Linked DNA regions of Saccharomyces cerevisiae S288C. The protein of the gene in region 2 interacts with the protein of the main gene of each other region in a biochemical or structural test. Each region holds a gene or a part of one and is shown on either strand. Other genes may lie near its edges.

Region 1 (4,650 bases), on a different chromosome or scaffold from region 2:
TTCCTATTGACTTATCAAAAGTGCTTTTCGTTTGCACTGCTAACTCTTTGGAAACTATTCCAAGACCTTTACTGGATCGTATGGAAGTCATTGAGTTGACAGGATATGTTGCTGAAGACAAGGTTAAGATTGCCGAGCAGTATTTAGTTCCAAGTGCCAAGAAAAGCGCTGGTCTAGAAAACTCTCATGTTGATATGACAGAAGATGCAATAACAGCGTTAATGAAGTACTACTGTAGAGAAAGTGGTGTAAGGAATTTGAAAAAACACATCGAGAAAATATACCGTAAAGCAGCCCTACAAGTGGTAAAGAAGTTGAGTATTGAAGATTCCCCAACGTCATCAGCCGACAGCAAGCCTAAAGAAAGCGTTTCTTCCGAAGAAAAGGCGGAAAATAACGCCAAAAGCTCATCGGAGAAGACTAAGGACAATAATTCGGAAAAGACAAGCGATGACATTGAAGCCTTAAAGACCTCTGAAAAGATCAATGTTTCCATATCCCAGAAAAACCTAAAAGATTACGTTGGGCCTCCAGTCTACACTACAGACCGGTTATACGAAACAACTCCACCAGGGGTAGTTATGGGGTTGGCGTGGACTAATATGGGAGGTTGCTCACTTTATGTAGAATCTGTCCTTGAACAACCTTTACACAACTGCAAGCATCCAACATTTGAAAGGACCGGGCAACTGGGAGATGTTATGAAGGAATCATCAAGGCTTGCTTATTCATTCGCCAAGATGTATTTAGCACAAAAATTCCCTGAGAACAGATTTTTTGAAAAGGCGTCTATCCACTTGCATTGTCCTGAAGGTGCTACCCCTAAAGATGGTCCATCTGCAGGTGTCACTATGGCCACTTCCTTCCTTTCCCTAGCATTGAATAAGTCGATTGACCCAACGGTTGCGATGACCGGTGAATTGACACTTACCGGTAAAGTTTTACGTATCGGTGGGTTGAGAGAAAAAGCTGTGGCCGCTAAAAGATCTGGTGCCAAGACTATTATTTTCCCTAAAGATAACTTAAATGATTGGGAGGAACTTCCAGACAATGTAAAGGAAGGGTTGGAACCTTTAGCTGCTGATTGGTATAATGATATATTCCAAAAATTATTCAAGGATGTGAATACGAAAGAAGGTAATTCAGTATGGAAGGCTGAATTTGAGATTTTGGATGCTAAAAAGGAAAAGGACTAACTTTTCATCTAAATGGATTAAATACCTGTTTAAACATTCTGTAAATATTTAAACATAAACATCAATTTTATTACACAATACTAAATTCTTTCTTTTCTTCGTGAAGTATGTATGTGGGAAACCCAAGATGGCGGAATCGCGTGTAATATTATTTATCATATGCCTTTTTTAGGAAATCTAATTACTTACCGAAGAAAATAGGACAACGAAAAATTTCGAGAAACGAAACCAGAAAGTAAATGGTGAATATCCTATAATCTACACATTTTGGTACAGTTTACTTAATAATACTCCACACACCTCTTTGCCTCTTTTCTAAGAAGTATAACACAACTACAATATAAGTGATGTCTGATAATAGAAGACGTAGACGTGAGGAAGATGATTCGGACTCAGAAAATGAGCTACCGCCATCCTCACCTCAGCAACATTTTAGAGGGGGGATGAACCCAGTTTCATCACCTATTGGTTCTCCAGATATGATTAACCCTGAAGGTGACGATAATGAAGTTGACGATGTACCAGATATTGATGAAGTTGAAGAACAAATGAACGAAGTAGATTTGATGGACGATAATATGTATGAGGATTATGCGGCTGATCATAATAGAGATAGATATGATCCAGATCAAGTTGACGACAGGGAACAACAAGAACTATCTTTAAGCGAACGTCGCCGCATTGATGCTCAACTAAATGAAAGAGATAGGCTATTGAGAAATGTTGCCTACATAGATGACGAGGACGAAGAACAAGAAGGTGCAGCGCAACTTGATGAAATGGGCCTTCCTGTGCAAAGACGAAGAAGGAGAAGGCAGTATGAGGACTTAGAGAATAGTGATGACGATCTATTGAGTGACATGGACATTGACCCATTAAGAGAAGAACTTACTTTAGAATCTCTGAGTAACGTTAAGGCTAACAGTTACTCGGAATGGATAACACAACCTAATGTCTCAAGAACTATTGCCAGAGAGTTAAAATCATTCCTGCTGGAATATACAGATGAAACGGGTCGTTCTGTATATGGTGCACGTATTAGAACATTAGGTGAAATGAATTCTGAATCTTTGGAGGTTAATTATAGACACTTAGCGGAGTCCAAAGCCATCCTGGCACTATTTTTAGCTAAATGTCCAGAAGAAATGTTGAAAATATTCGATCTCGTGGCTATGGAGGCAACAGAATTGCATTACCCAGATTATGCCCGTATTCACTCCGAAATTCACGTAAGAATCTCTGATTTTCCAACAATATACAGTTTACGTGAATTGCGTGAGTCTAATTTGTCCTCTCTAGTACGCGTCACTGGGGTGGTGACAAGAAGAACAGGAGTCTTCCCTCAATTAAAATATGTCAAATTCAATTGTTTGAAATGTGGCTCCATTTTGGGCCCATTTTTTCAAGATTCTAATGAAGAAATTAGAATCTCATTCTGTACAAACTGCAAATCAAAAGGTCCCTTTAGAGTCAATGGAGAAAAAACTGTGTACCGAAATTATCAAAGGGTTACGCTCCAGGAAGCTCCCGGAACCGTTCCTCCAGGCCGTCTACCAAGACATAGAGAAGTCATTTTGTTGGCGGATTTGGTAGATGTATCCAAGCCAGGTGAAGAGGTAGAAGTTACCGGCATCTACAAAAATAACTACGATGGTAACTTGAATGCAAAGAACGGATTCCCCGTTTTTGCAACAATTATCGAGGCAAATTCTATAAAAAGAAGAGAGGGCAATACAGCTAACGAAGGCGAAGAAGGGTTGGATGTTTTCAGTTGGACTGAAGAAGAAGAACGTGAATTTAGAAAGATTTCTAGGGATCGTGGTATAATTGATAAAATTATATCATCGATGGCACCGTCTATCTATGGTCATAGAGATATTAAAACTGCAGTCGCGTGCTCATTATTTGGAGGTGTTCCAAAAAACGTCAATGGAAAACATTCTATTCGTGGTGATATCAATGTGTTATTATTAGGTGATCCAGGTACTGCCAAATCTCAAATCTTAAAATACGTCGAGAAAACAGCGCATAGAGCGGTCTTTGCAACTGGTCAGGGTGCTTCGGCTGTCGGTCTGACAGCATCCGTCAGAAAAGATCCTATTACTAAAGAATGGACCTTAGAAGGGGGGGCGCTAGTATTGGCTGATAAGGGTGTTTGTTTAATTGATGAATTCGATAAGATGAACGATCAGGATCGTACATCTATTCATGAGGCTATGGAACAGCAAAGTATTTCCATTTCCAAGGCCGGTATTGTTACTACATTACAAGCGCGCTGCTCAATTATTGCTGCGGCAAATCCTAATGGTGGTAGATATAATTCAACCTTGCCTTTAGCTCAGAATGTTAGTTTGACCGAGCCTATTCTGTCTAGATTTGATATTTTATGTGTTGTCAGAGACCTTGTTGATGAAGAGGCAGACGAAAGATTGGCCACATTTGTTGTCGATTCTCATGTAAGATCTCATCCAGAAAACGATGAAGATCGAGAAGGCGAAGAGCTTAAAAATAATGGCGAATCGGCGATAGAACAAGGAGAAGATGAAATAAATGAGCAGCTTAATGCAAGGCAAAGAAGACTTCAAAGACAAAGGAAGAAGGAGGAAGAGATCTCGCCTATTCCACAGGAATTATTGATGAAATATATTCACTATGCGAGGACAAAAATATACCCTAAATTGCATCAGATGGATATGGATAAGGTTAGCAGGGTATATGCGGATTTGAGAAGAGAAAGTATTTCTACAGGTTCGTTTCCAATCACAGTTCGTCATTTAGAATCTATTCTAAGAATTGCAGAATCTTTTGCTAAAATGAGATTATCTGAATTTGTGTCTTCTTATGATTTGGATAGAGCTATCAAAGTTGTAGTTGATTCCTTTGTTGATGCCCAAAAAGTCAGTGTTCGCCGCCAACTCCGCAGGTCTTTCGCAATTTATACCTTGGGTCACTAAAACTTTGTTATTCCTACGAATATCTGGATATGAAGATAAAAAATTCTCTGTCTCAATCCATGTATTGGCAATCCTATTTTCAATATACAAGTTTCCTTTATTTTTTGTATAATTTTTATACACTGTATCTTTAATTTCAATTCAACTAAATACTCAAGATCTAGTCAAAAGTGCATTATTTACTATCCAAAAAAAAAAAAAAAAATGAAGTAAAAAAGAAGTAACAAGACCGAATAAAAAAGGCTCATTACTGAAGTATTATATTCTTATTTTTGCCTTTTAATAATATACATTTACTTTACAGTGGAGGGGATAAGAAACATGATAACTATCAATTAGCAGCGCTAGGAGCTTCAGTAGAGGTTCCGGTAGTAGTTTCTGCGGGAGATTCAGTCGTTTCTTTTTCTTTTTCTTTTTCTTCAGCGCTTGGAGTAGCCTTGGCATTCGCATCAATACCAAAGATCCTATATAATAGCTCATGAGTATCTTCTTTACAAACC
Region 2 (5,073 bases):
GGACTTTGATTACGCAAGGCCTTTTCAACTAGAAGTTCCGAATTTTCCATAAACTTCTCAACAACATCTTTGGTCAAACCAGGCGAAGGTAAAATAGCATCGCCTTTGTTGCTGAACATTGTACCACTGCGTGATTCGATAGCGGGGCTCGCAATCAGGGTGCATATTGTTTTCGCATACGTCTCTGCGCTTTGACAGGTCCAGCTGATTATCCATTCTGTAATGCGGCTGAGGTAGGTGTCACTGCCAAGAAGATTATTACGAATGTTCGTTTTGATCAGCCCAGGGTTCAAACCGAAAGTATCTATATTCGTGTATCTGTCTTTAGCGTCTATGACCAGACTTTCATTGGCTGCCACAGTGTTCATATGTGTAGCGTAGGCACTATACTTCTTTTCATCAGAATTCAAGTCATCTGGGTCTCCCACCTGACCATTTCCTGGAAACCCTGCTATGAAAACTTTTGGCAAATCGTCTTTTTTTGTCCTACTAATTCCTAATCGCTTCGCCACATCATGGAAGATAATGTATCTACTCAAATAGCTCACTGCCATGTCTTTTTCCAAACCCTCACTTGTAGCTTGTCTCTGGCGTGATGCAAAAATACCCGTAGTGAAAATCAGATGTGTTAACTCCTCGTAGGGAATTTCATCACTATGAGATATACGCTTGCATTCTGACACTAAACTTAAATCAGCCTTGACAAAGTTAATTTTATCTTTTAGGTCCTCGTCCCTAAAAGTTTGCCCGACAACAGTAACCCTGGCATTTCTTTGGGCCAGCTCTCTACTTATTGCACGTCCAAGTCCACCTGTGCCACCAATTATGGCCACATTAAAACGACTAAAATCAATGTCATTGATATTTTTTCTTTCCCAACTGACGGTGGGATCCTTTTTCCAGAACATCCTGCTAAATGCGCCAATATACTATTATTAGTTTTTCCTTGATACGTGGTAATATTCTGTTTGTTGGTTCACCTTTTCATTCACTTGAATTGTTTTAAATTTTGTATTTATACCTCTGCCGATTATTCCTCCCCTAATTGATGATTGCAGATTATGTAATATATATACATATATGGACGAGGCCCCTAATTGAACAACAAAAATAAAAAGTGTAAAAACATGCTAGTCTCTATATTGATAAAAATACGTATGATGTCCATATAAACTATACGTCATGCAGCTGAAGGAATCTAACTGAATACTTAATAGGTTTCTATAAATTACAAATGTTTGTATTATTTACGCCATCACGCTCACCTTCTTCCCCATCGTCCATTAGAGAATCGGTTTTTCTTTGGCAGTTTTAGTCTTCTGAAGTTATTGCTCACTAGATTATACTTCTTTCTACCCTTTCGCTTAGCCGTAGGCTTTTGCTCTGAGCTTACAACGCCGCTGCTTGCCTCCGGATCATGTTCAAATTCAGTATCAGAGATTTGTGAGGTGGATCCCAAAAATTCTGCCACTTTCCTTCTTTTGAGTTTCACCAGCTCCTTATGGACATCTCTCTCAAAACCTGCGGTCTCGGTTTCTGGATCATTGTCTCGTAATCTTCTGATAACCTTTCTTCTTTTGGGTCTCTTTCTTATGAAGGTATCTTCCCTTGCTTGGCTATCATCATTATCATCATCCTCTTGAAATATGTCCTTCACAACTTTTGGTCTAATTAGTTCATCTTCTAGCCCAAAGTCGTCTTCGTGGTTTTTCTCATCGTAACCATTCTCGCCTTCTTCTCCTTCCTCTTCCTCTTCAATATCTTCTTCCTGTAAGACACCAAATTCTTTTACAATTTCAGTATGTTCCCTGGCCAATTCTATCAGGGATTTCGTCAGTGGTCTTCTAATGAGTGGAGACGGACTAAATGAAGTTGAAATATCCGCTTGATCCTTTGAGGGAGTCTTCTGTAAAGATGGATATGCTATTTGAAGCCGGCGTTTAGTGCTTGAATTAAGTGAGATGTTTAGGTGAATGTTTTCTTCATCCAATTTTAGCGGGGAATTAGGTCCATAATACCCCGATGGTTTGCCAGATTCTAGTGGAGGATTAATAGTTGGACTACATTTCTTGATTTCTACCAACTTCCCATTGCGATTCTTGCATGGTGATGAAGTCGGAGTACGTGTAGAAGAAGCGTTTAGCATTTGAAAGTTTAATTGGCGTTTCACACTGGATATTGGTTCCGCCACTAACGTACGATCTGCAGGCGACGATTTTAGGAGAATAGTTTTTCGTGGAGAAGATTCATTAGAAATTGTCTTGGAGTTATCATTGTTAACATCAATATTATTTGTGAATGTCATGTATATAGGCTTTATAGGCGACAAATTCATGTCAAAGATACTAATCGCCTTACCGTAAACTTGGGGAGTAGGGCCTATCTCTACGACTTCGTCGTGGTCTTTTTTATGTGCCGGGAGTTCAACCGACTCTTGAGTGTCAACTTTTTGTCGTTGCAAAGATTGTTTCTTCTTCAGTGTGGAATATTGTTTATACATCTGCCGAACAGTCCGCAGGCTCTTGATGTCATCCCTTGTGGGTTCCCTTTTATTTTTATCAATGAAATCATGCTCCCATGTTTTCAGCTCAATTTTCAATTTGTCCAGTTCAAATGAGTACATCGAACTACAGTTATCGCCTCACTAGATAGATTTCCCTGTCCTGTGGAGCCTGATGTAAATCAAAATTTGATTTTATCATTTTTCTCTTGACGTGTTTCACCATACGCGTAAACGTGATGTGATATACGGAAGATATGTAAAAAGGAAGCAAAAAAAAAAAAAATGAAAGTAAACGGATATGTGAAAATGCTCTTAGGTAATTTGAATATAGTGTATGTATGAGAATAAATAACTAAGTACCAGAAACGGTATATAAATAAAAAAAAAATAATGGCCTTCCAGACCCATATTTGTTTTTCATTTTAACTTTTTTTTTATGATAAAGAAAGAAAAAAAAAATCATTAACATCATTAAAAAACAATCAAAGTTTTGTTTTTTTACTTTTTTTTTTTGGAATTTTTGTTGTTGAAGGAAAAGGACGCCTAAGCAGGCGAAGAATACTATCATTACCCATAATAAGAATTTTTTATTGTATAATATCATTTTGTTTTCGTGATTTTTAGTTGTTTTCGTTTTATTGCAACATGCCTATTTCAAAATACTTGTACCTTTAAAAAATCGACATCTTCGTCAAGGTCGTCGATGAAACTGCTTTGATCAAGTTCATTGGTGGCAGTTGCATCATTGTTGTTATCGTTTAAGTCATAAAGGTTAGCGTTCGACTTCGACGTAGAAATTTTTTTGGATTTCAGAACTTTGGTGTAGTCGTCATCAGTACCGGCACTACCGTCAATACCGGTATCGTTGGAAAACATGAAATTTTTAAAAGATCTGCCATTGTTACAGTCCTGCTCTTCCATCAACTCTTCTAGAGTTGGGGGCAAATAAGAAAACTTATTGTCAGCCAAAGTGATTTCTGAACCTAACTCGTCATGGTGATGCGAATCAGCGCTTTCATCCTGATCCTGAAGAAACAGATAGGTTTCATCGTTCTTTGCTTGGATGTTCGCCTTCTCAGAATTAGTATTTTTTTTCAAAGCACGTGATGAATCTTCTTGTTGTGAACTTGAACTTGGTAAATAATTCCAAATGTCTTCTTCATCTGGCTCAACCTTATCATCTTGCCCTGAAGATACGGTTTCCTCCAAAATTGGCAGATTCAATAAAGACATATTATCGTCATTGTCCACTTGTTGGTAATTGCCACTGTTCTTACCTGTTGTATCGTCCATAGACTGTAAGTAAGAATTCCAGAGATCATTATTTTCGTTAACGTCGTTATTCGTGTTGACTTTGGCATACTTATTGAAAAACTCAAGTTTCTCGAAATCGTTAAAGAATTTAATCTCGTTCAAATCCTCAATTTTGTCCTTAACTTGCAAATTAGTAGGCAAGGAGTGGTTTCTAATCAACGAGACTGAATCTGCTGGAGAGAAATCTGCTGGAGAATCAGGGAATGAAGCCTTATGAGGGATCTTATGAAAATTTAGGTTCATGTTCAAATCTTTTGTCAACTGTGGGACCGGAGTGGCCGATGAAGATGTGGAAGATAAGGACAATAAATCAAAGTCGTTCAACTTTGATTTTTTCGTGGGTGGTGCGTGAACATTTGAAGAAGAATCTATATGATGGTTTTTTGTTAGCAGACTGTTGTGAGCAGCAATGGTTTCCACATCGGTGCAGCTTTCATCGTCCATGAATTCTGATTTTTTTCTATTTCTATAACTTGAAAAAGATGGAGATGAATAAGATGGAGATGAAATGGAGGAGGCAGAAGAATGAAACTTTTCATTTTCCAAGTCATCGAACTTCAAAAATGCGAGGTAATTCGAGTCGTTTATTAGCTTTTCATCGATTGTCTGGATATGTCTTGGTATTTTCCTCTTTTCTTTGGAAGCTTGTTTCCTATTCGAAATGATGTTATTATTATTATTATTATTACTACTGTTCCTGCTGTTAGGGCCAACATTTAAAATATTATTGGTGTTGTTGGCAGGTAGAGTGTTGTGAGAAGATGATCTTCTACCAGGTCTTGGTCTTGGGGGCAAAACCCAATGTTTTGAAGTTCTAACCACCAAGCTAGACTTCTTCTTCTTTTTACTGCCATCGTTTTCGAATTCCAGCGAACTATTGTTATGATGGTTGGTATTTGGGGCGATCGGTACAGGCGCCAATGGAATATTATTATGCTCATTTTTAAAATGGTTACTACGAGGGCGACTAGCGGAGGCCTGTAGTAGAAAAGTCTTTGCGGTCATGATTCTTTTTTTGTTTTTTTTTTGTACTAGAAAATGTAGGTAAAACAAATCAGCAACCCATTAAAATGCTCTTTGATGTACTAGGAGACCAATAAATATGTGTGGAAAAAAAATAAAACTGTGTTTTTTCTCTTCCTATGCGTTTGATAATGATCTGCTCAAATAAATAATGACCCTTTTTTATTTTTCTGGTTCCTTTATAGTAGTATTTTTATATTATTAAGTGTAAAGTGGACCTGTAGATAGCATAT
Region 3 (4,519 bases), on a different chromosome or scaffold from region 2:
CTAGTAAATTTTCCATATATGAATGCGAGCAAACAAGGTAACAGTATTAGCGTGTTTAGAAGGTATGGTTCACTAGCATAAATAGTAATAGATAGAAGCAAAGCAACCCAGTTCAATGCAAAATCAATTATGTATTGCACGCTGGAAATGCCAGGAGGCATAAGGTTGGAATTTTTCAATAAGTTCCATGATATGTAAGTTACCAAAGCAATTGATGTCACTGCGTTAATTTCTGTTATAGAACCGCCATTGAGCCCTGTCACAAAGTCCTCTTTTCTCTGTTTTAAAGTCGACATATTCTTCTGATGTACTGTTGCCATTTATTTAGATATTTACGTGTCTTCTTATTGCGATCCTCTTTTTCTCATGCTGTTTTTTCACGCGAGCATGTCATGGAAAGTATTATCATACAAAACGGTAATACATATAGATGAGTAGATTTGAATAATGCTGTAGATGGCGTATGTAAATGAATATCTTATAAAATTACGGACTACATTTCAAGAATCTAATTCCTTTGTCTGATTTCTTGTCTGTCGTCTCATAGGTTTTTCTAAAGAGGCAGTACGTTTCTTATCTTGAATGGAGCCATAGGTAACTTGAGTATGTGAAACTTCCTCAGTTCTTGGGATCTCTTCTGGATTAGAAATTGCAGTCGGCTGCTCTGTAGGCACATTTTCTGACATTATTGTGCCCCAACTCGTGGTTCGTTTAATTTGTTTAGGAACGAAATTTTTTGGCAGTGACTCCAACTTGATCCTTTTCGTATCCGGCATTTGTCTCTCTGAAGAAACATCCATGATACTCGATGAGACACTACGCTTTTTTCTTCCAGAATCAGTTTCTCTAATTTTCTGCAATAATTCGTTTTTGGTATCTTTCATAGAGTGCTCCGATAATGAGGAATTGTTTCTTTTCAAAAGAATAGTTTTGTCGATTTTTGGATCATTGTTTTGGTACTTTTTTTCTGAACTAATGCTGGTATAGTATGGTTTTTTTATCTTACATTTAAAATCGTCCTTGTGTCCTCTTGGGCAGATAATACACCACTTGATATTGTTTAAAAAGATTTCATTATTTTCTCCAGATGCAGCGGACAATAATTTAAAAATAAATGCTGGAGTAACTACCGGTATGGAGTGGAATTTCTTGATATATTCAATTTTCCTTTTCATCGAATTTCTCAAGATTGAATTATTTTGAAAATCTTTTCTGTTATTATCACCAGGATCATCATTATTGTTATTAATGCAAAACTGAGTAAAAAGATCGCTAAATTCATTCGACCATAACGGATGGGTTTTCGGGATACTGGGTAAAGCTGCTAAGTTGATTAGCAGAATGTCAGTGGATTTATTGAGGTATTCTACATAATTGATGCCCATTGGTTTTAGAAGATTTAATACTTTAGTCAGATGTAACAGCTCTACGCCAGAGAATCCAGTGATAGTAACATTCAGAAAAGGGGAAGAAGAAAATTCATGATGCAATAACTTTGAAGAAGACGAAACTTGAAACTCTATTGTGCTGAGGAAGGGTTTTGACCATAAATCTATTGGGTGTAGTAATTTTTGATAATACAAGCAGCGTTCAATGAAAAATTCTGTAACTATACCATCATTATCATCTATAATCTCAGGTAAATCATTGAAGGAGTCAAGAGCTTTATTACTTGGAATGATGTAATAAGAATGATCGTAAATGCCGCTCAAGTAAGACGTCTCAATTTTACCCCCATTTTGAACAACAATTTTGGTTAGTATTGAACGGTGATTGCCAGGAAAAATATGATGAATGATAAACGCACAATTTTTGAAAATCAAAGTACTATTATCACTTAAATCTTCTTGTTTGTTATTTATCGATAATGGTGACTGCCCTAGTACTGAAAAATTTGTCTTACTATGCTGCTGTAGAGACATTGCCTTGTCCCATATTTTTTCACCCTTTGGTTTAAATTTATTCAAGAGGGATGATGTTTTCGGGAGCGAAGGAGTCAGGGTACTGGAGGATTGCTGCCGCTGCAGAGAGGATTGGGCATCGATATTGGTTGGAAAGGTGGTGTTTATTTTATCCCAGCAATCGCAAGAGTTTGATCCGATTGAATCATAGGGCAGGTCTTTAATATTTGGTAAAAGATAATAGGGATCGTACGGTAACAGTGCGCTTCTTTTTTGGCAATCGAGAATCCATTTGAAATGTACAATAGGTATATTTTGTTCAATAGCAGCGTTAACTCTTGCTCCTAGTAAAGTATCCGTAACAAAAATGGATATCTGCCCATTCTGACCTTGATCATCGTCATCATTGTGTGAAGAGGTATCTTTGATTACAAAGTTTTGATAGTTATAACTAGAACACCCTAACTTTTTAATACTCCTAACCAATGAATCGATGGAAGTTATGTTAGTGTCGGTTATTCTGCCAATGAAGATATTGAAGTTATGCAAATATTTAAACGAAAATCGCCGGTAAAGTATCTTCAGCATCTCATAGGTGGATCCTGTCATTGTTGCCGTATTAGAGTCCGGCAATATATTTTCTCCAGACAGCCAGAGCTGATAAATGTCATCAATGGCTTGAATGTCAATAAATATGATATCGAATCTATGCTTCACCGCAAATTTAAATTTGTTTGTATTGGTGGTGGACCCAACAACAAGGACATTAACTTGTCTGGTCAAATCTTTAGAAAATATACCTCCTAACTTAATAATTTTCTTTGATATTTTTTTAGCTAAGATTTCATTATTTATTGCAGTCGGACAAAATGTTATTCCTTGAAAGGGCTTCATAGTAATATTAATGCTACTGATAAAATACCTGCCATACTAGAAATAGAAGACTTATATATCACGTAAAATTTGTCTCTTCTTATTCATCATGTACATAAAACAGTACAAACATTACCAATAGTACTATATAGCTTTACCAGGCAATACGCGAATAGTCCATGCAGTTTTTCTTCTCTTATACTGATGAGGGTAAGTTTTGCATTTGATCACCGCCGTATGCGAAGCGGAAAGAGCAAATGCGTTGAAAGAAACCTGGCGACAATAGGAACCACGAGTTCAAGCTAATAATGATACCTCAATGATTATGCCCAGATTACGTTATGTGACTAAAGTAGAAAGGTGAATAAATATAAGTAACGAAACAAGGTTACATGGACTCTTCAATTAAAGAAGGAAAAGGAAGGATTCTTTTGCAGGCAGAAAACATTGAAGTTATATCGCAACAATAACGATGTAGTTATTATGACCTCATAATATGAGAACTTTTTCCTCAAGTATTTTTAAGTTATTCTGTGTGTCATGACTCTCACTTCGTCATATTTTATGTTAGTGCACAAAATGCGAGGTGTGGGTGCAATCAAGACTCCGATCCATTTTCGCCGTTCGACCGGTGTTTTGGCGGCTAAATTTAAGGGCGTGATCTCAGAACTCGGCGGCAAAAAAAAAAGTATATAAGGCAGAAAGCTTTCTGCCTCTCCGATTTCCTCTCCTTTGTTTTCTTTTCCGCTTCAATTTACAATCTAGTTCAGCGGCTAATCCTCTTTACCATTGTTTTCCGTTTATCCTTTGCTCATTCTCCTTTGCTCGATTTCTTTTGCTCGTTTTTTTTTTTTTTTTTTGCTTCTTTTTTTCTTCTCGCTACTCTGAATAGACGATGGCCAAGAGGAAATATGGCAGGTCTTATTCCCTCGATGATACAGATTCCTGCAGCAATAAAGTCCTGATAGTACCAACCGGTCAAAGCTCCTCTAACGCAATCACTGATTTCTCTGTCAGAAAGGCGCATGCTTGCGATAGATGCAGACTGAAAAAAATCAAGTGTGACGGTTTAAAACCGAACTGTTCAAACTGTGCGAAAATTGACTTCCCTTGCAAAACCTCGGATAAACTGTCGAGGAGAGGTCTTCCAAAGGGGTATACAGAACTACTAGAAAAAGAGGTCGTCCGTTTGACAAATATGAATGCGAGTTCCAGCGCCAATGCAAATTCTAATTTGCCGTTCATTAATGATACATTTTATTGTTTTGATAATTACAACACTCAGTCTGAAAATCAAAGGTTTTTGGGACATTTGACATGGAATATTCTAACTAATACTTTTCCTACTCAAAAAGCAGTAGTTTTTACAGACGATCGAAATAATATTGATCTACAACTGCAACTGTTAACAAATTTTTTGAACCTGAATGGTGACTTTAATCATCTCCCAAATTTTCTTTTACTTAAATATGATTATAACCTTCAGTTTTTGAAAAATTTGTTGTCTGTCATTATTAAAGATTTTTTTAAAAGGCAAAATTCTTTGCTACTTCTATTATACCCTACAAATTTATGGAAAAATTTGCTATTAGACAAGATTAATTCAACCGCAATGACAGGTGAACCCATAACTCTACTGGCGTTACTTTATATTATTCAATTTACTTGGTCTTGTTTTGATGATTTCAAGCTTTTTAAAGTCACGAAGCTTATTGTTTCTCTGACAACAAACAGCAAATTAGACT

The links.
Region 1: the proteins of SLD2 (region 2) and MCM2 form a complex in vitro, tested with the Saccharomyces cerevisiae proteins (3 studies listed by BioGRID).
Region 3: the proteins of SLD2 (region 2) and DPB11 form a complex in vitro, tested with the Saccharomyces cerevisiae proteins (4 studies listed by BioGRID).

Annotation. Positions count from the first base shown.
Region 1 is NC_001134.8:174,420-179,069, reverse strand, and holds MCM2 (MCM DNA helicase complex subunit MCM2), read left to right. Parts: upstream 1-1,543; coding exon 1,544-4,150; downstream 4,151-4,650. Other genes in the region: ATP-dependent Lon protease PIM1, read left to right, coding at 1-1,196; NCL1 (tRNA (cytosine-C5-)-methyltransferase), read right to left, coding at 4,482-4,650. UniProt on the Saccharomyces cerevisiae protein: Acts as a component of the MCM2-7 complex (MCM complex) which is the putative replicative helicase essential for 'once per cell cycle' DNA replication initiation and elongation in eukaryotic cells.
Region 2 is NC_001143.9:231,976-237,048, reverse strand, and holds SLD2 (Sld2p), read right to left. Parts: upstream 2,624-5,073; coding exon 1,262-2,623; downstream 1-1,261. Other genes in the region: YKL107W (putative short-chain dehydrogenase/reductase), read right to left, coding at 1-908; transcription factor HAP4, read right to left, coding at 3,158-4,822. UniProt on the Saccharomyces cerevisiae protein: Has a role in the initiation of DNA replication. Required at S-phase checkpoint. Also required for the proper activation of RAD53 in response to DNA damage and replication blocks.
Region 3 is NC_001142.9:262,257-266,775, forward strand, and holds DPB11 (protein kinase activating protein DPB11), read right to left. Parts: upstream 2,796-4,519; coding exon 501-2,795; downstream 1-500. Other genes in the region: GWT1 (glucosaminyl-phosphotidylinositol O-acyltransferase), read right to left, coding at 1-296; SIP4 (Sip4p), read left to right, coding at 3,670-4,519. UniProt on the Saccharomyces cerevisiae protein: Has a role in the initiation of DNA replication. Required at S-phase checkpoint. Required for the association of PSF1 with origins. Also required for the proper activation of RAD53 in response to DNA damage and replication blocks.